Drosophila melanogaster: one gene and its partners. The gene in region 2 interacts genetically with the main gene of each other region. Each region holds a gene or a part of one and is shown on either strand. Other genes may lie near its edges.

Evidence for each region. Genes that interact genetically often act in the same process or in processes that back each other up.
Region 1: of stwl (region 2) and hng1, changing one enhances a phenotype caused by changing the other (phenotypic enhancement), as found in Drosophila melanogaster (one study listed by BioGRID).
Region 3: of stwl (region 2) and skl, changing one suppresses a phenotype caused by changing the other (phenotypic suppression), as found in Drosophila melanogaster (one study listed by BioGRID).

The regions. Positions count from the first base shown.
Region 1 is NT_033778.4:21,166,188-21,171,632, forward strand, and holds hng1 (hinge1), read left to right. Parts: upstream 1-2,742; 5' UTR 2,743-2,809; coding exon 2,810-3,757; 3' UTR 3,758-3,823; downstream 3,824-5,445. Other genes in the region: Isha (insulator su(Hw) mRNA adaptor), read right to left, coding at 543-647, 703-855, 985-1,257, 1,409-1,996, 2,245-2,274; LSm1 (uncharacterized protein), read right to left, coding at 3,878-4,051, 4,114-4,298, 4,353-4,407; Xpd (xeroderma pigmentosum D), read left to right, coding at 4,875-4,879, 4,934-5,391, 5,444-5,445.
Region 2 is NT_037436.4:14,401,995-14,411,659, reverse strand, and holds stwl (stonewall), read left to right. Parts: upstream 1-1,720; 5' UTR 1,721-1,897; coding exon 1,898-2,045; intron 2,046-2,813; exon of another isoform or gene 2,814-2,880; coding exon of another isoform or gene 2,881-2,914; intron 2,915-4,822; coding exon 4,823-7,788; 3' UTR 7,789-8,730; downstream 8,731-9,665. Other genes in the region: CG3919 (uncharacterized protein), read right to left, coding at 1-160, 388-565; CG3868 (uncharacterized protein), read left to right, coding at 8,962-9,091, 9,572-9,665.
Region 3 is NT_037436.4:18,436,939-18,442,723, reverse strand, and holds skl (sickle), read left to right. Parts: upstream 1-2,781; 5' UTR 2,782-2,896; coding exon 2,897-3,223; 3' UTR 3,224-4,163; downstream 4,164-5,785.

The DNA of each region.
Region 1 (5,445 bases), on a different chromosome or scaffold from region 2:
CGCCGGATATTATGTGGATTTTAAAACCTTACCTTTGGCTTCATTTGCATATTTTTTAAATATTTTACTATTGGTTCGACTTATTCAAATATTGGCAATTGTTTTATAGTTCAAATATATGTTGGGGACATATAGATCGACTTATGAAACTGATTTAGGGTTTGCCCAAAAGCATCATCTTTTGATTTTAAACATTTTTTTTACAACAAAATAAAATTTAATTTTAAATGGATTGGGAATTGAATTGTTTGCATATTCAAGATATATAGTATTAAAGTTATTGATTAAATAGTGCAAGACCACCCCGTTACAACTAGTTGAATCAATTTGGATTCGAACACGCTAATATCCCATCAGCTATAACAACATATTGAACACATTTCCAGGATTAACTGCACGTCAGCACAAGGCAAATAGTATCACCCGTTTTACATCTAATATGTTTATACTTTAGACCAAAATTAATGGCGAAGTCTTGGTGAAAAGCATACACAAGTCGGACCCCAGGAACTAAGATAGATTGGAAAAGTAGAAGGGTATACCTCTATGGTCTGTTGCTCCGATATGAACTCGACATCCTTGTTAAGGTCCATGCTGTCGTTCATGTTCATGCCCATGCCCATGCCCGGCGGCATACCAGCATTTCCCTGAAAGCAAATCATAATGAAAATATGTACATCGTCATGAAATCATAAGATGTACCTTCATTACGTTCTGGAAATGCTGCTGCAGTGCCTCGTCCTGATAGCGATGCTTCTGGTTCTCCTCCTGCGGCTTCAAATTTTGGAAGTTCTGCAGCGTATGGAGCTGCCGCAGCACATTCGGATTGTTTAGCAGCTGCTTGATCTTCTTCTCCTGAAAGAGTTATTTAAAAGGTTATTCAAAATGGGATCGATCTAATGTGAGCAACAAAAGCAACAAATAGAAACTTAAGATAAACAAAACTATCTAAATGAAGAGATGTGTTAATGGGGTTCGCCATACGTCTAACAGGTTTGAAGAAGTGGGCGGTGAGTCGTCGCCCATACAGTGGTGATCATCTGCCATCAGCATCTGCAGGCCTTCATCTTCTTCCTCGATGATCTCCCGCACCTGGTAGTCAATGTCGTGCGAGCTCTTGACATATTCCCGTTTGTGATGATGCGACTTGCTGGTCTTCGACGAGCACGAGACCACCGACTGTCGTTTGGAATAGTGTTGCTCCGAGTAGTGACGCTTGGAGCTGCTGCTGCCACCGCCGAACTTCTCATGGCCCAGCTAGCGATTGGGCGAAGGGCAAAATGGGCGGTTAGTGGGCAAGACATGAGAGACAGAGAAATGTAAATGCAGCAGAATTGTAGACGATGTTAGTTAAGCCATTATCCAATACTAGACACCTGTAGAAGCCTCAACCGAAAGCATCACTTACCGACAAGTCGGGCATGGCACCGCCCATCTTATCGTCGCCCCCGGAGCTGTTCATGCTTATCTCCATTCCGGAGCTGTTTAGACCGTTCGGACCGCTCGATATGTCCGCCAGGCTAAGAGCACCGCTGCTGCTGGGTCCTGGACCCACGCCGCCGCCCTGTCCTCCACTGCCACCCACCGGAGGCATCTGGTGGTAGATTGGGTGGTTTGGGTCGGCCAGGTCGAAGATCGGCTGAATGACCTCGGACTTGAAGACGTTGTTTTTCTGCCACAGGTTCAGTACCCGGATGATGCGACTCTTGTCCTCCGGAGCGCACCGGAACAAGTTGGCAAAGGTCTCCGTGAGATTACGCTGGAATCGGGGCGCGAACAGATCCTTGTCCATACCGTACTGGTGGCGCGACTGGCGCACTATCGAGTCGATTACATACAGCCCGGGTACTTTGTACTCCGGCTTGCACTTCAAGATGAACTTCTCCACACTCTGGACGACGTGCTTATACAGCTTGATGGCCCGCATCGCCGACTTGGTGATGGCGGCCATCTTCGCTTTGGAAATGGGCGGTCGGCTGTCATAGAGTCCGGAGAGCTAAGGAGAAATATAGATGTTACAGTACGGCTATAGTTTACGGATATCTGGGACATGGAGTTATCGTTATCGGGTGCTGGCCAAAAAGCAACCCTGAGCGGTGCTGTTCGGTGCTCTGCCTGCGCCTCCAGCAGGATCTGTATACCTCCCGCACATTGGACAATCCGAATACCGACTTCAAGCGGACATTGTGCAACCACGCCGGCTGCTCCATAACGAACCTCGTTTCTAATGCATCTATAGCTTACCTCATTGTTGAAGGCAACCACGGTTTCCATGTTCAATTGCTTGGTTCACTCACGGCACGCACACACAATATTTAGTTTTGCATACTTTGGTTGGTCAACACAATCGTTTAAAACTGGCGAAAAACAATTTTCTCGACCTTTCTGCGGTTTCCACGGCTTTTAAAAAAACTTTTTACAAAGCGTGAAAAAAATGGCTGCCCTAAAGCCTGAAGCGTTGCCAGACCTGTAAAGTTGACATTTTCAAGGCATTTCTGGAAATTGTGCTGTTAATGGCAGTGTGACCGTATGTGGTGCATAACGTTTCGGTATTAAAAAATTTTCCAAATATTTATAAAAAATAAAACGAAATAGAATTTTCATTATGGAATCCAAAAGTTTCATATAAAAAAATAATGACAACAAAATAAAAATGACCTTAAATAAATTTAAATGAAATCAAATCTTCTTAAATGTACTACCTTTTAAAAATAATCGCTATCGGCGGTGTCGATCTTTTTAGCATTGTGTCGATGACAATACATCTGGCAACACTGGTCAATATTAAACATATATTAAACAAATTAAAATGAGCTCAAACCACCGTCCTCTGGACGATTCGGATATCCTCCTAATACAAACCATCCGCGAGACGCCGTCGCTGTACGATCCCCAGCTGCCCTCCTTTCGGCTGTCGCAGCGCAAAGAGGAGGACTGGGCAAAAGTGGCGGATTTGCTAAACATCTCCATCTCAGACGCTCGGCGACGGTGGACGTGTCTGCGGGATCGCTATTCGCGGGAGCTTAAGCAGAAGCGCCTGCATCCGTCCGGCGAGTTTGGTCACAATGACTTCTTTCGGAAGATGGACTTCCTGCGGGACTTTGTGCGCAAGAGACGCGAGCGCAGAGGACGCGAACGGGATCGGGAACAAAAGCCAACCGGGTGGATGAAGGTTGATTTACAGCGACGGCGTCGTACCCGCCTGCCTATTGACACAGAGACCTTGATCGAGGAGCAAGGTTCGCACGCCTACGATGAGGGCGAGGAGCAACACGACTACGACGCTAAGCTGGAGTCTCATACCACACAATCGGAGACGTATTCGGTGGTCGTGGAGGCGGACGATGGGCAGGAGCCCGAACAGGAGAGCTTCGATGAGTTCCTGGGGGATGCGGAGTGCGAGCAAAAGGTCAAGGTGGTCACAATTCATCCGGAAATCGCTGCTCCGAATGCGACGTCCGCACCTGAGCCTATTGAGTCTAACCACGCGGATCTGAACTACTTGGTCTGTATGCCGCCCAATGCGAATCAGGAGCGAGAGCATTCCGCCCCAGAATTACCCAATCCCACGGCCGTCATCACCCAAAAGACTTGCGAAACAGAGGACGACTTCTTTTGCAAGTCGATTGCCGCGTATTTGCGCCAACTGTCGCGCGTGCACAAGATCAAGGCCAAGGTGGAGATGTACCAGATTCTAGAGAAGTACATACTGCTCGAGGAGTGCGGAAAGGGGTCGGGTGCGGGCGGATCAGGCTAAGCAGGTTGCATGCAATATGTACATAGGTTTTAACATAGTTTTTTAATGCAGTACAAATATACAAAGAGACGAAAATCTTTTGAGCTTAATCTAACTTTGTGCTTAGGAAAAAATGGAGTCTTAGCAGAAGTCCTCGTTGATTATGTTGGCATCTACGGCCAGGCCTCGTTCCTTTAGTGCCTTGGATACTAGGCGGTGTTTCTCCTGCCGCTGCTCCTGTTCCCTACGCTGGGCGTCCAGGATTTCATCGACGGATATCTCTTTGAGTGGCAGTTTCTGCTCCTTTTCACGGTCCTTTTACGCATATTTAAAGGGTGTTAATCAGTCATATTGAAAAAGTATCGAGTAAAGCTTACTATTTCGCCCAGTAGCACCACATTCTCCCCGCGAATGATGAAGACTCCGCGAGGAATGTCGCCGTATTCGTTGCCCACATGTATCCGCTCGATGGTGCGTTGCAGCACCAGGTTGGCGAACTGGTCCACGGACCGCAGGTATCCAATCAGAGTCCGTCCGTCTCTCAAAAGTACCATCAGTTTCTCTGCAATGCGCCGGTTTTCAACGACTGGCCTTCCTTTCATTCGGATTTACTCACTGTCAACCTCTTCCAGGAGGTGAGCCGTGCCCGCCAGCGGATTTAAGTCGTCCATGCTATGAAAATATGTGGGATTTAGATAAATAAATAAACTGAAGCAACTAAACTTTGGTCTAAATTTTAGTATTTAATATTAATGTAACCCTCGCTGAAGGGTTTAAAAAACCACAATGCTCTAGAAAAAAATACTAAAAATATTACTACACTGTTCAACGAAACTTATAAGATATTGCTTACTGAAATTGATGTTTTTAGTTTTAAAATGCATAGATATTAAATAGTTATTATTAATTTTCAAACAGTTAAAAATAAGATTTCTGCTCTAACATCAAATATTTTTACGCTGTTCACAGAGTTACAAAATAAAAAGAAGTTGACCAAAAAAATATCAAAACTTGTACTCAATCCATGCAAATTTTTCACAGCCCCATCGATAACGATGGTACAAATTCTATACCTCGATAGTACCATCGATAGTTTGCCGGCACAGGGAATTGTGAATTATCCCGGAATAGGCGAATAATGAAGTAAGTGGCAGAACGGGATAAATGAAAGTACTCCTTTAACAACCCAGTCCACAGGCTCAGCGTGGACGGCCTGTTGGTGTACTTTCCGTACGAGTACATCTACCCGGAACAATATGCCTACATGCTGGAACTTAAGCGTAGCCTGGACGCCAAGGGCCACTGCCTGTTGGAGATGCCCTCGGGAACGGGCAAGACGGCCACGCTGCTCTCCCTGATCGTTGCCTACATGGTGGAGCATCCGGAAACGGTGCGCAAGCTCATCTACTGCTCGCGTACTGTTCCGGAGATCGAGAAAGTGATCGCCGAGCTGCAGAACCTGATGGTTTACTACGAGCGCCACTGCCCCAATCCACCACCCTTCACCGGTCTGGTGCTCAGCTCTAGGAAGAACATGTGCATCCATCCGGAGGTCAGTAAGGAGCGCGAGGGCAAGGCCGTGGACGGTAAATGTTACGGACTCACTGCCAGCTACATTCGCGAACGGCACGAGATGGACACCGAGACGCCCATTTGTAAGACTATTGTTATCCATATGTAACCATTATTTCAACTGCGAACTTGTAGGC
Region 2 (9,665 bases):
GACCTACGACCTCTGAGCGGAACGGGCACTCCGGGAGTGATGTGCTTTTGCAGGAACTTCAGCTCGCTGTTAAGATAGTACGTATTCGCACCGTGATGCAACTTTATTGAGCGGGCATAGCTGGAGCGAATGTTGCGCCAACGTTCCTTGCAGCTTTTAACTGAAATGATCAATAGCAGTCAATAAGATTGTAAGATAATATTATATAATATTTATATAATATAAATTGTAAGATTTTATAAGAGATTATATTTTATTTTATATTATGTATCGACATAGTAAAATCGTGCTTATAAAAATATAAACATCTCCTAATGAAATGTAAATTTAATAATTAAAGTAAATTTAGTTAATATGCAATATGTCGAAATATAGATAAAAACCCACCCGAATTTCGCATCTCATTGGATATTTCCTTCCACGCATTTTTCACAGTCGATTTCCGCAAGTAGTTGTCATCGTGACGATCGTAAAGACAAGGATGTAGTTTCACCAAATGACATATTTTGGCATTGATGGCGTAAACGTTCGGTGGTGGAGCTATGGACCGACGGCGTGTATTCATTTCATATATAAAAACTAAATATGCAAATTTAATTAATTAATATAATTAATAGAGTTAAAGTAGAAGACCCGAAATCGAATCTGAAACATGTGTCGCCTGACCGTGCAACAGCTGTTTGCCGCTACTTTGCTTCTCTGCTCCGCTTTCAACAACAGTTATTTTCTCTGAAACCAGATCTTTCGTTTAAACTTACGTGAATTAGGTTTAAAAATGCTCCAATTAATCGATGTCAGTGCTTTTATCACGAGTTTTGGCTTATTAAGTTCGGGCTCAAGCCGCTCGTTGCTTCCGTGCACGCGGCAGTTGTTGGCGTGGACGCCGGAGTTGCTGCTATTACAAGTGTTTAGCAACTTTGAACACTGCGATTTCGTGCTGCTGCCAACAAGTGATGCAGTTGTAAATGAATGTTGCAATTTCAAATAGCAATTGTTCTTGATTTTAAAGCACATGAGCACTAGACTGATTCGAATTGGACATTTGAATCTTTAACGGGCGGAGAATATAAAACACCGGCAAAATAAATAAAGAAAGGAGCCACAACAAACGGAAAGCCAGAGGCGTAGTCATTCTCTTCGCAAATCAGCGGGGGTTACCATTCGAGCAGCATACAACCCTCTCTGAGAGAGAATTGACATGCCACTGGATCTCACACATACAATGAAAGGCACACTCACTCAAAGTAGACAGCACTGCCAGACTTAATGCAATAGTATAGCAGTTGGTGTTGGCAGTGCCATTTGATCGCTGGAGGTGCTGCCAACGCATTTACCAATTAATTAATGACCACCCCTAAATGTTGTAAATTATAAAAATTATTCAAGAATATTACGATTTTGGTTAAATTAATGTACAAAATAAAATATTTCATATTTGTATTGGCTGTCAAATGAAGTTATTTTATTTTAAGATAAATGCTAACAAATCTTAGAGAAACTGGAAAACAAGGTTGAGCGGTTTTGAGAATTATGAACAACGCGTAAAAAACATTATTTATAAACGTAAAAAAATATTATAGTCTAGCCCGACAGGTAAAAAATAAATTTATCCGGGGCCACCTTGGTCAACCCTCGTCAACGACCGTTCGGCCTGCCAACTCGCTTTTCCCTGCAACGCAAGGCGCCGCTCTCTGCTCACACTCTCACTTGGCTGTGTGTGTGTGCTCAATACTCGCTTTTAGTTTTCGCTGCAGTCGGTCGCCGTTTTTAGTCTCAGCTGCTGCGCGCGTGTGTTGTGATTGTGTGAATTGCGTTTGCGTTTGTAGCATAACACAAAACCGATAAATTCCTGGCGAAGCGAGCTCTCTCGATTGGATTCTTGCAAAGTGAACTAGCGATGAGCGCCGCCTCTGAGGTGAACCTGATGTTGCTGCGGTCAGTGGAGAAGCAGACTGCGCTTTATGATCGTACCGACGAAAACTATAGGAAGCGCCTGCCGAGTGAGAACGCCTGGGACATGGTTGCCTCCGAAGTTGGAGAGTCGGGTGAGTCGTGAGTGCGAGCGGGATAGCAATCGACGTTGCGTAGTTTTCTGCCAGTGCTGCACAGCGTCAACGCGCGCACAACAGTCAGTCGTCCCCGAATTATCGGCCGTCGATAGTTGTGTGCGAGTTGGCAGCGCCATGTATGCCATCACAAAGCAGCTGGCATCGATTAATTCGAATATAACGAGTCTCCTGTTGAATGCGTAGTCGTTTGGGATGAAATTGCTTCTTGCTGTGACATAATTTTTGTAAATAGCTGGAAAGTAATTTATATTAGTTATTTGGCAACTGCAATAATTGCATGGTAAAAACTAAACAAAGTTATTTCGTTTGTTGTTATTATTATTTTTTTAATTTAACATTTTATAATTTATAATTCTCCAACAAGCTTGTTATTTCATATTAAAAAAATGTCTTATTTGAATATTACATTATTTTAGAAGGATTTAAAAATAAATAAATTAAATACAGAAAAACCAAAATATGACAAATAATAATATCTAGTCTATTCAGTAGCCAAATCCATTTCATTTAATTCTTATTAGCTTTATAAATTTTTTTTAAATGATTTGAATCCTTCTGCACGTTTTGGTAACACTGGTAACACTAATCGCCCATTAGCTGAGTAAAATTTAACCTTAGAAAATTGGTATATTGTATTATATTGGTATATTATGAGTGGGTAGTTCCATTTATCCATGCATCTCTGATTTTGTTGTCGGTGTATATCGATTGACCCATATATATTTCCCTGGAAAGATCTTTTGGCCAAACTTTTCGAGCAGTACAATATAAGTTGGCTCTTTTTCATTTGAGAACTGAAAAAATATTGCCAATGATGGGGGACTTCTTATTCGAGAATTCTTGCTGTAAGTTTTATTTATATATCGCAAAAGAAAGAAAAATCCTTTTTAGTGTACATATGTACATACACACGTGCATGTACATATTTAAGTATGATTCTCAATTTGATTGCGATTATTTCCACGTGGTTTCTGACACCTTTTACTAAACTTTACACGATTCCTTAACACAACTATTTTTTAAGTAATGTGTTTGGATATCAGATAAAGGGTGTTTCAGCAATGTCTACAGGTTTTGTTAACTAACAAATTAAAACGTATCTTAGAAGTTTGGGCGTCGGAAACCTGCACGCCTTATAAATATGTATGATATGTACATCCATGTACGTTCCCATGTATGTATGTCGGAAATCTGCATATATATATATTTATATAAATATATATGGTCATGTATGGTCATGCAGATAAATGGACGCTTCTAATTTGTATACCCCTTACTCGTAGATTTAAAGGGTATACGTTGGAAGGGATTCGTTGCAAAGTATGTATGCAACTGGTATGAAGGTCGATCTCAGGAACTATAGAAACAAAAAGGTTCAAATTAAACATATAGATTAAAGGGACTTAGACGCAGCGAAAGTTTGTTTTTTCATAATTTTTAATTAGTTTTGTAAATTTATATTGACTTTTTGAACAGTTTTTTTAAAATTTTCTCATTTGACTCCCCAATATCTATCTATATGCCATATCTATATGCATTATAAAGCTTCCCACTTCCATTATTCATTCTCTTATTATTTGTTTTTGTGGTGATTTATTGCACTGTAAATTAATTTTTTGCAAAAATGCTTTGTCTTAAAAATATAAAGTAATTTCCTACAATTTTTCTTGTATATGTTATAGCTGATATTATTTTATCACTTTAAAAAATTGTTATGTTTGGCTAGAAAAAAGCTTATTTTTTATGACCCGATTTTTATTTGAACTATCCTTATGCAAGGACAAGAATTGAAATGGCACCGAACACAAAATTTCATGTGTCAGTTTTGTCAGATTTTGGCCGCGGTAATTGAAAATAACCTTCCGCAGCGTAGTTAGTTACATACTGTTACAAACCATATTAATCGGCGAGTATAAAGGCAGATAACTAAGAAGCAGTTTTGGCACGTAGAAGCTAAGAATTTCTTGTCTATTACTCCAAATCAATTTTGCCACTTCCTCCAATGGAAAGAGCCATACGAATTTGATCAATTAAAAAATAATATGGAAATATCTAATACCGAAGACCATATTTAGACCATTAAGACCATTAATTAGCTAATCATTTTCCGACTGTTGGTATTGAAAATATAGTTTTTCGATTTTAATAAATGTAATCCAAAATTTATATATATTTCCAAGATCTAGTGTATTCTTATTAAAAACAAGTAATGTGCCATCCGGGTTGTAGGACCCGTGATTCAGGGTTCGCGGTGCGTACTGGATGCCCCGATTTTGTGACTAGCAGTTACACACTGCAGTGCTTTTATTTTTATTTTTAAAAATTTACATACATGTATAGCTTAATTATTAAATACTGCTACCTTCAGGCAGCTAAAAAATTATATATAAACTGCAGTGCATGTACTCGCCACCGAATACTCATTTATACTCATTTAGATATTCATACATAGCATACTTTCAAGCGAAACTTGCATTTACGGAACCATGTACAATGTTGGTTTTTTGAAATTAAAAATAATTTAACTAGTGTCTCTTCCCATTATTAATAAGCATTCCTGAGCTCTTATTACCTGTTCATGTAAAATGCACACAAAGTTTTATGAGCTAAGATTAAAGTGGAATTTTCCGGGCAATCAGGGGGTGTTATGCTATTGAGAAGTAAAGGTTGGGCCGCTACCTGTTGCCTGATATATATTACGTATCATATCTTCTTACCTAGCCTTATCATTTCCCTCTTGTTCCCTCTTGCAGTGGAAAAATGCAAGCGACGCTGGCGTCAGCTGCGAAATGACTATACCCGCTGGTGCAACGCCGACGCCAACCGGCGACGAAATGGCCAGCGTCGTTTGGCTTATCCGCTGGCCGATGAGCTGCGCTTTTTGGACCGCCATCTAAACATAGCTGACGACATGGCTGCCGACGATGACCGCAGCGTATCATCGGACAAGGACAGGGATAACAATAGAGACAGCGAGGGCGTGGATCATCATGCTCAGGCGTCATTAAAAGAACGCGCATCATCGACAAGCAAGTTAGTTAAGGAGGTCAAGCTGGCAAGTCAAGTTCGTAAGGAAAAATCGTCCCAAGACAAGAGAGAAAATTGGGAAAATCCTGGAGATAAACAGCGATCTAGGAAGAAAAGTGCTGAAGAGAAGCTGAATGATTTGGAGGAATCGGACGAACCAGAGAAGGTTCCTGAACTCGATAGTTTTCTGCAGTCTGATAATGAAGACGACGAGTGCATGGACGAGGAGCACCTAGAAGATCTGGAAGGTTTCGATTTTGACTTGGAACAATCGAATCAGGAAAAGGAGTTAACGCCGGAGAAGTCTCTAGAGAAGAATAACACCGACTCAACTGTTAGCCAGCCGGAGTTCTTTGTCAAGCAAACCAGAGATCCTCGTTTGCTAATTATTGGCAGAAAGAATTCGACGTCTTCGTTTGCTGAATCCAAGGCTTCAAAATCTATTTCCGGGGATCCTCTGGAAACGGCTATGGAAGATAGTGGCGATGAATATGGTAGGGATGGTGAAAAACGCGTCACAGGCAGCGACACTACTTCTCCAACCCGACGTCCACGTCGCGCAGCCCGTGCATCAATAAGTTTCGCTGGCATAAGGGATTTACCGATCCAGAAACCAGGCCAAGCACAACGAATGACGCGATTGCAGCGCAGGAAATCTATGAGTTTAGCGGCTGTACACAGTGTAAGGAGCTCCACATCGCCTGTGAAAATGACTCCAGTCCCCAGGTCTCAGCCGATCAACAAGCCGCCATCCGGGCCAGTCCAGATCACGAAAATCAGTCATCGGGATGACATCTTCCCGAGACCTGCGGTGCCATCTGGAGTTGTGAATATAAATCAAAACCAACTCAAGACTCAACAACAGCAGAAGACGCTGATCTTTCCGACGACCGATGAAGCGATCGCTAACCCGCAGGGATCTGGTCCACCACAAAGGAGGTCCGTGGGTAGGCCGCCCAAGAAGCTACCTATGGTGCAGCGAATAGTTGCGCCGGAAACGCAGACCAAGCCACAGTCGCCCATAAACACCAAAGTCCTGACCATTGGCAAGCCCACCAGCTCCGTCGCGAGTGGTAACATAAATAATATTGCTATCAAAAGCAACGTCGTTACTAGCATAAGCAGCAGCACCGCTACTACTAATACCATTACCAAAGGTACCAGTAACAACAGCATCAAAACTACTGAAAACGTTAATGTAATAAGCTACAGTCCGAATTCATCTAGCACCAGCAGCAGCAGCAAGGCCACCACTGGTGCCTCTGGTGCGGTGATAACTAATATACCCACAACCACCACAGCTGGAACATCCGTTCCGGTCGGAAAGAGTATAACCCAATTGAAAATGACTGAGCGAGGCACTCAAACCGGAGTCCAGAATCCTTTCTCCGATAATTACTTTCTCGAAATGATCAAGCCCCAGATGCAGGAAATGAACCCCCGTCAGAAGATGCACTTTAAGAAGAAAGTATTCCAAGCGCTGATGGAAACCTTTGATGATGCTACCGATTTCCCAACGTCTAAAGAACTGCAGCATTTTAATATAAACACTCCTTCAGGATTTGAGCACATTACAGATCCGGAACTTCGATTGGTCAGGGAGCTAGTCAGCATGGTGAGCGCGGCTAAGGTTACCCTAATTAGACCGCCAGGAGAAGCTACAGCTATAGCTACAGCTTCCCGCAGTGGAATTGCTCCTGAGGTACAGCGAGGACCCCGAACAAATATGACACGCCAAGTCATTCAGAGGGTATACAAGCCAGGCACTGGACAAGAGATCGCCCCCACCAGCCCGGCGGGTGGACTAGATAAGAGGTTGTTCAGGTTAGCGGCTATGGGTGGTAAACCGAATGGCAACTTGAGTGCCACTCAGGAAATTTTGCGCAAGGATAGTGTTGACAGTAACCATAGTGTGGTCAAGGTGGCCAACCACGCCCCAACAGGCAGTCCCAAAGGAGCTGCTGTAGTGGCTGCTATAAGGCCGCAGGGTTCATTGATCAACAGTTTCTTTGGACAAGGCAATGGACCGACGACGGCCAAGGGAGCTGCCTCCGAGAATATCCGCGCCATGTCCAGGAGGTATTCCGTGTGCGGTAGCAGCAATCCACCCAATGCCCAAAACGCTAGCCAAGGTTCCGCCAATGGCAGCACCATAAACTCCAATGCTAGCGCTATGGAAGCGTCTATGCTTAAGCGGCGATTGATAGCAGCTGGGCATGGAATGGTGCCACCTACCCAACGCCCTCGGTATTCTGCCGTAGGTGCTAGTCAAATGACCACTGCATCGCAAGGCAGCAGTTTACTAGTGAGGAAGTCTGTGGGCTGCGTTCCTGCTTACCAAAAGCAAATCTCACCCACTGGCGGTGCCTCCCTGCTTCAGAAAACTCCGCAGATTGCCAGTGTGCAAGGATCTGCCTTCAATGACTTTGCCCAGCCCAAGCCCGCTGCAACGGCCTCTGTAAACGGCGAAGAAAGTTCGCCTACCTCGGCGCTGAAGCGCAGCTTGGTGGTGGCTAATACCAAAACCTCCTTTCAGGACCTTCTTCAGCAGGCCAGTCAGACGGTGCAGAGAAATAAAATTGAATCCTCGGAGACAGCAGCCACTATTGCTGCGGATGATTTTTCGCTGGACAACCTTAAGCGAGAGCCAGTGGATCCCGCGGAGGATCACAATGACATACTCGGTGTTTAAGACCAGGCCAAAGAAATTTCCGAGTATTGATTAAAGAGTAAAGAATTAAGACAGATTCATTAAATCGTAAATAACACGTTGAAAAATTGTTAAGCTATCTAATGCACTTATAATGTTGCGTTAAACATTTTTTATAGTTCCCTATAATTTTAAGAATTTCGAATTTTTTTTTTTTGGAAAAAGTTTTTAACTTTTTCTATTTTGTTCATAATTTTTTAGACGATAGAAAACCGACAGTTTTGTTCAAAATTTGCACAAGAAAAATGATTAATGAGAAATCGAATCTTAACTTTATTTCACATTTTCTAGTTATATATATCGAATAAAAATTGCCCTTATAAGTTAAACAAAAAGGACAACTGAAAAAATATTTAAATATGTTTTTATGGAAATATATTTCTATACATAGTTAGGTCAAAGTCACTAGAATATTATTCTAATGTCTTTGGTTAGGTAGTGAAATATATTGCAGTACATTTATGCGAAACAACCATCACGAAAATTTGAAAATTAGTTTGGTTGGTGAACCAAACTGGAGGGTGGGTGCTCCAGACGTTGTTCTAGCAGAGACATAAGTAAAATTATGAAAATTAATTAATTCTAATAATTATGACAATATCTTTGGTTCGGGTACCGATTCTGGAGTATTTCCAAAGCTTCAGAGTATTTAGATACTGATCAATAATATTAAATTGTTTTTATCAATACATCAGTGAGTCGGTGGAATTAACAGTTCCAAAGCACACAAACTGATGCAATTACCACTATCAGGATATATACGTGGACCTAACTACGAAGTAACACATCATCGATAACAGAAGATTAGATATGAAAACGCTGACGCAGCTAAGAAAAGCCTAAACATAACAATTCAGTAATAACATAAAACCTTCTTGTATTTATAAATAGAATAAAAAAATAAATTTGCAAATTTGATCAAACGTAATTCCAACGTTATTGAAATACTTCCCGTTTTGGGTGAACCACCGGTAAAGATTTACAAGGTACCAGTACCATTCAATATGCTGTTCTTTTTGCACATTTGGCTGGGAATCTAATCTGGAGAGGTCTACCGCGAATGGGCCGTAAATAAGGGAGTCAGTGCCCAGATAAGGCAGCTATATAACCTCTCTTCAAGTGGCCGCGAGGTTCAGTCGAATTCGAGACATCACCATGAAACTCTTTGCCATTTGTGCCCTCCTCATCCTTCCGCTGGTAAGCGGTGGAATCGTGCCACGCACACCTACTAGGCACTTTGTGGCCTACGAGATCCATTCTACCCATAATCTCCCCCAGATGGAAGGTAAGAGACAGTATTAGTTATACCAGATGGTACAATTCGCTGGATGGATTACGCTTAGCATTTGGATAGAACGACTTGCACAGAAATACATACGCATTTCTTATTAAAAACAAAAACAAGGTGTCTTTGGAAATTTGAAATTTTTAACATATCAAGACTAATCACCAGCTGTCTAGACAAGGTAATCAACTAAATTCGAAAGCTACTCGTAAATCATTATAATCGCTAAAAAGTATAGAAGTATGAACATGTCCGTCTGACCGTCCGTCCGTGTGTCTGACTTATGAATCTCGGACTGAGTTTATTTACTAAAATTTCCCTGCCAACTCTACTCGGTCTTGCCCATTCTATCGAAATGCCACAAAGTGTTTTGAATTCTTCCTGTTTGAGTAAAGGGTATCTGATAGTCGTTCTATCTAGTTGCAAAATGAACAGTAAGTAATCCAATTACAAAAATTATTTTTTGTTGTATCCGCTTAGCCATCGTCCAGAAGATGCAGATCCTATTCCAGAACATGATTCCGGATATGTCCGTGTTGGCCGACGCTGTCGCCGTACCCGACATGTCCGTTCA
Region 3 (5,785 bases), 4.0 Mb from region 2:
AACTTTAAGCTGCCACTTTAGTCACTTTACGAAGGGATATAAAGAGAGAAGAGACGAGAAAGTCGAAGGATGTGGATGCCATTTAATGTCACTTGGGCGCAGCCATCAAGCATAAAGCTCTTGTATCCTTCCACCTCCTTGAAAAATAACAGTTTACACAAGAAAACAAAACAGAACAGAAGCCACCCATAAATGCAGAATGGGGAACCACATGTGAAGTGTCCTGGCTTTGACTTTGACTTGAGGTGCATCCTCCAAAGTGCGCCAAAGTGAAATGCATTTCAGCAACAATTGTTGCCAGCTGTAAATAAACACGACTTGCCATGCCACGCCCCCTCTGACATGGCTGGCAAACAAAAAAAAAACAAAAACAAACACTGCAATGATAATAAGGTATATAATTTAATATCAATCTGACAGCCAAACACACACACAGAAGGCAACAAAGTGCCCCTGTGATGAGAACGATGCAACGTTTTATGCTGCAATTTCTGTTGTATCCGTTCTGGAAAGGTAAATACCCTATAATGGCTGCTACCGATTGGCAATACGTTGGATACAATGCAGAGACTTTGGGAAATTAATCCGAAAATGGAAAAACTGAGACTCACTTCCAGTGAGTACATACACGAATGTGTGTACGTGACCTTGTCATCGAAGTTAAGAATATTTAATGCTTTAACAACATTTTCAATTCAAAATAAATCAAAGAACGAAGAAAATTTAATTTTCAACAACTACATTTAAATTGGATATTATTTCAAAATCAACAAATTCTATCAAATCTTTGATTTGCGATTTTCAAACGATACTTATTTCCATGCCATTTCTTTTTAATTAATACAATATATTGTGTTTGCCAAATATACCATTTGTTTTTATCCATTTACCAATTAGAGCGAACTCTTGATAGTAGCTAAACTGTATTGATAAGGATAATCTAGAGTAAGCATATTAAGGCATTCCTTCATAATTATTATCCTTAAGAATAGGGTATCCTTTCATCACTCTCGTCTTGAAACTCGCTCTTCTGGGTGCTGCTTCCTTGTAATTTTTTCCTGCCGTCTTTTTCGTTGTTCGTGTGCTGCACATGCCCCGCCGCACTTCAGTTTTATACGTATACCTATAGATATGGGTGGTACATACATATATATGCATTGTCTGACTGTCTGGGGTACTCAAATGCCACTCTTTCGATGCGATGCGTTTCTTCCCTTGGATCCCACTTTGCTCCTTTTCACTTTTTTTTTCTATTTTGTTTGCTAACTAAATAAATGCAGTTTGTGTGTGCGCCTGCACTTGTTGTTTGTGTTGAGCCAAGCAGAACATTTCCATTTGAATGTTCTTTTAAGCGAAAACAATTCTTTTCTTTGTTTTGCCTTTGAGAATGTGAGTGAGTTTTGCAGGTACACGAGTATATGTAAGTGATTTGGCGAGCCCCGCTGATTTTGCTCGAGTGTTTAGCAAATTAGATCATGGATTTTTCCTCTGATTTCTCGGGGTTATCATCGCGGGGATATCATTTTTGGTACCCCGCCCACTCACCTGCACGCCCACGAAGGTGATTTTCTTTTGTTATGCATTCTTTCGTAGATTTCTTCGGTTGGGTTTTTATTTTACGTTTTTTATGCAGCAACTATAAAAAAGTTTTTACATTTTTTACGGCACTTATTTCAGCTTTCTCTCTTATTCAGCACTGCTCCAAACCCATTTTATTCTGTGGGTAACAAAAGAAGTTTTTTGACGGCGAGTGCATTATATTTTGGACTTACGGCGAGAAGTTGATTATGTTGATTTGTGGAATTGATTTGTCGGAGGGTAAAAAGGATTCAACAGACACTCCTTTACTCTATAAAAATTCCTGGCATGCGGTTCACAAAATGTTAACCGATTGTTCTTGCGGTCATAGGGAGTTGTAGGATGGTAAATTGATTTTCTTCAAGTACAAGAATAGTCGGGTGAGGAATTTTAAGTCTTGTTTAGTACTTATATAGTACGAATTCTTGCAAAGCTTGGATGTAAATGTTACAATTTTATTGTCATATTTTATAAATGCTTACTAAGTTGGAAAAAATTTTCTATATTTAATTTGTATCAACAATTAAAACTCTTGGCAAAGAAACGCAAAAAAAACAGGAAAAATAAGCCAAACAGGAAATTGGTCAAGGTCACGTCTAAGCCAAGGCAAGAAAAGTGAAGAAAAGGCAAAGCAAAGCAAAATCTCACATCGAATTTTTGTATAAGCCATTCGACTACTTCCCCTTTGCTGTTCGAAAATTCAGAAATTTAAAATTTGCATATGTTAGCTTTAAAAAGAAATATATATCATTCTACCATTTCTTTGTTATAAAATTAGCTTTAATGAAAATAATTTATCTTAGGTACTTCTAGCTCGACTTCCTAAAAATAAATTCTTTCCCCTTAAATTTGTTTTGTTTCATTTTCGAAAACTTTCCTGTCCTGGTTCGAAAAACGTAGGAAAACCACCCCATATAAATTCGAGCTTCAAACGTAACGGCGGGGTAAGTAACGTAATGGTAAAACGTATGTAACATGCCACAAGTGTGACGCTCTCTGCATTTTGTTTGAGGAAACGTTTACTGCACGTGATGAAAGTTGATATTGTCATCACAGAGAGGGCGACAGAGAGAGAGAGAGAAAGAGAGAAAGAGAGAGGTAGGAAAAAAGGGAGGGAAGATGGTAAAGAGAAAGCGGGCACAGAGGGTAGCTAATTCTCCCGCCGTTTCCCGGGTATAAATACGGGCGTCCTGCTGGCTGAGCTCTTCAGTCGTACGACAACTCGCCAAGAGTTCAGATCTGGAAAATCAGGAAATACCTTGCCACACATCGAAGTTAACAAGTGCCATTTTTACGTAACATTTTGAGCGACTCAAATATGGCCATTCCATTTTTCGAAGAAGAGCACGCCCCGAAATCGGAACCCAGTGGCGATCAAGTCGATAGCCCCATGGCTTTCTCCATAGACCCCGGACATGATCAAGTGGACTTTGAAGGACCTCCGTCTGCAGCAGAGGAACTCCCGCCACCAGGAGCAACAAGTGAGCCAGTTGCGCCTCCGAGTGCCGAGGAGCAACTGCTGGCCTGGAAATTCCTGGCCATCACCATGTGCAAGGTCCTGAAGCAATTTTACCAACAGCACAAGTCGTCCGGAAAATCCAGCAAACTAAAGGCCACCGTTCAAATACAACCGCAGGCGCAGTAAAAATTTCGAAAACCAACTTAAGCACCAACTAAGGCTCCTAAAAGCGCAACTTGTGATTACTTTACGTTGGTGAGAACTAGCGCAGCCCGAAAATTTCGAGAGAGAATGAGCGAGACAGTGACAGAGAAATGTGAATCAATTTCCCAAGGAAAACCCTAAAACAAGATTAACTTTTGATACATGTATTTTCTTTGCTGGAAATTAAGCACATAGTTTCTTATCCGTCGGGATACAACAAAATTTTAAAACTTTGGATAAGCGCAAATGTGATAAATAATTTTGCTAAAAAAATTTACAGTCCAAGTATTTGTTTAGTAAACTTATTTAAGTTAGTTTTACTTGTTTAACTGAATAAGTTAGATTCTCGTAGGTGGTCGGCCCAGTGCAAGAATAAGTGAACGAAAAATCCAAACATTCATATATTGGAAAATTGTCTCAAGAGATAAAAGCAAAATTTTGTAAGCAGTCGCTAGTTTTCAAATCGAAACCAACTTAGTTGATAAGTCAAACTATTCTACATGCTATAACTACAAATAGTTACAACTTTTTTACCAACAACTCTCTTGGTGTCTATTTATGGGGAAATTTAAATGATTCAACTTCCTAGGTAGAGTGCTTCTTAAACTTAGCAAATATATATGGAAATATATTTTTTAAAATTGAAACATATTTTTATATTTACTTTGCCGTCGATATATAAGCTGTGTACGTGTCAATCTAGTTTATAGATCTATTCTTATAAGCAATATGTGGCTAAGATTCCATGCGAAATAAATCGATGAAAAGGCGTTCTTCGCGTAACGAGCATAAACATAGTACAAGTTCAAAAGTAGAAATATTTACACACATAAATACTCCAAACTACACATTCTTTTAAGCAATTTAATGTAACTTAAGCTAAGTAAAGCAAATGGCATGAAATAAAAATATTATTGAATGGAAAAATACGCATTTTTAACTAGTGATGGGATGAACAATTCAAAAACGTTTATTTTCAGATTTTGGTCTGTTTGTGGTTTAGCAAAACAAACCCAAAGAATATTACATTTTATCGTCTAGAGTTTAATTCATATATAATTTTTATAACAAATGGAGCCTAACACAGCGAAAAACAAGACAACGAAATGTTAAGTGTAAATGTAAAATCATTTACAGTGAAATGTATAGTACTTGCTAATTTACCCAGAACTTTCGCTCCGTTGCTAGTCATAATAGACCTAATCATCGTTGATAATACTTTGCCACCTTGAAATGAGTGCCACTTTTACCCCTCAACCAAACAGATTGAAATGGTTACCGGCGGCAGAGATCAAAGTCGTTTTCTCACACAAACGACACTGAATAATTCCTGAAATTCTCTCATTCCGGTTTTCCGGACTCATACAATCGATGCTAAAAAATGTCGCGTGGCGCCACCCGACTGATTTTAAAATCTGCCTTTGGGCGAGGCTTGAAAAAAAGAGACTACTGAAATCTTTCAACTTTCCATTTTTAATACGCTTTGTATGGCGAATAATACGGGGAAAAGGATGCTGATGCTAAGCCGCTTTTTAATTTTCCAAAATCCAAATAGAAGATTCTTTTAAGCGCCGTCCACCATCAATCAATGAACGGACGGATCCATAATAATATCAATCAAGGCAAGAACTGGCAAAGAACAAATACCATTTGCCAAATAAACTGTTCCCCAGCCCCTGAAGATGATTTTAAAATTTTTTGATATTTTTCTTCCAGGCAGATAAGCAGAAGCCAAAGGATTTCCTTCTTTTTTTTGAAAATGCGCATTATGAGGACGGTTAACTGTCTGAATTCAATCAAATGTCCCCCCGGGAATTTGCACTTTTGTTTGCTCGAGCGTCCACACATGATATCGTATCCTTCATCCTTTGGCAACCCTTTCTCCGGGAGAAAGCGGTGAAAGGCTCAAGTGCATGTGTGTTTTGCGTGCGTCCAGCTGGGATTTCTATGGGGTGGAGTTAGGAATGGTAAAGTGACCCCCGTAAACAAACAGTTTTGGATTTTTTTAACATAAGCAACAGATTTACTTGTGCGTTTTAGAGGGTATGTGGAGGTAAATTAGAAGTAGCTAGATTATATTTGCTCAATTCTGCAACAGATACGAATTGCTTATACCAAGACAATAGTATTAATAGTATTAATTTCTTATACTGGGTATGCTCTTCATTACAGAAATATATTCCAAATTTATATTTATATCCAAAAAATTGTAATATCTTATATATTTCTTCCAATTTTAAAGAAGTACTCGTTTGTGCACTCCTTATGAAATTATTCAGTACCAAGTTGTCCGATCTACTTTAACAAAACTCCTCACTTTTGAAAAAATCTTCTACAAACAACCATATCATCAAGCATATACTTAGGTATCTGGCAATTTGAGTGCCTTTTGAGGCATTTTTAACTTAATTGAATGTACACAAACTTACTAAGCAAATCAATTGCTTTTCCTTATTTTTCCGCTTCTGTCCCGAGGGTAAGTAATGTTTGTAGAGCTCAAAGCGAACTCGAAAATATATAGAAAACAAGATTATTAAAAATATA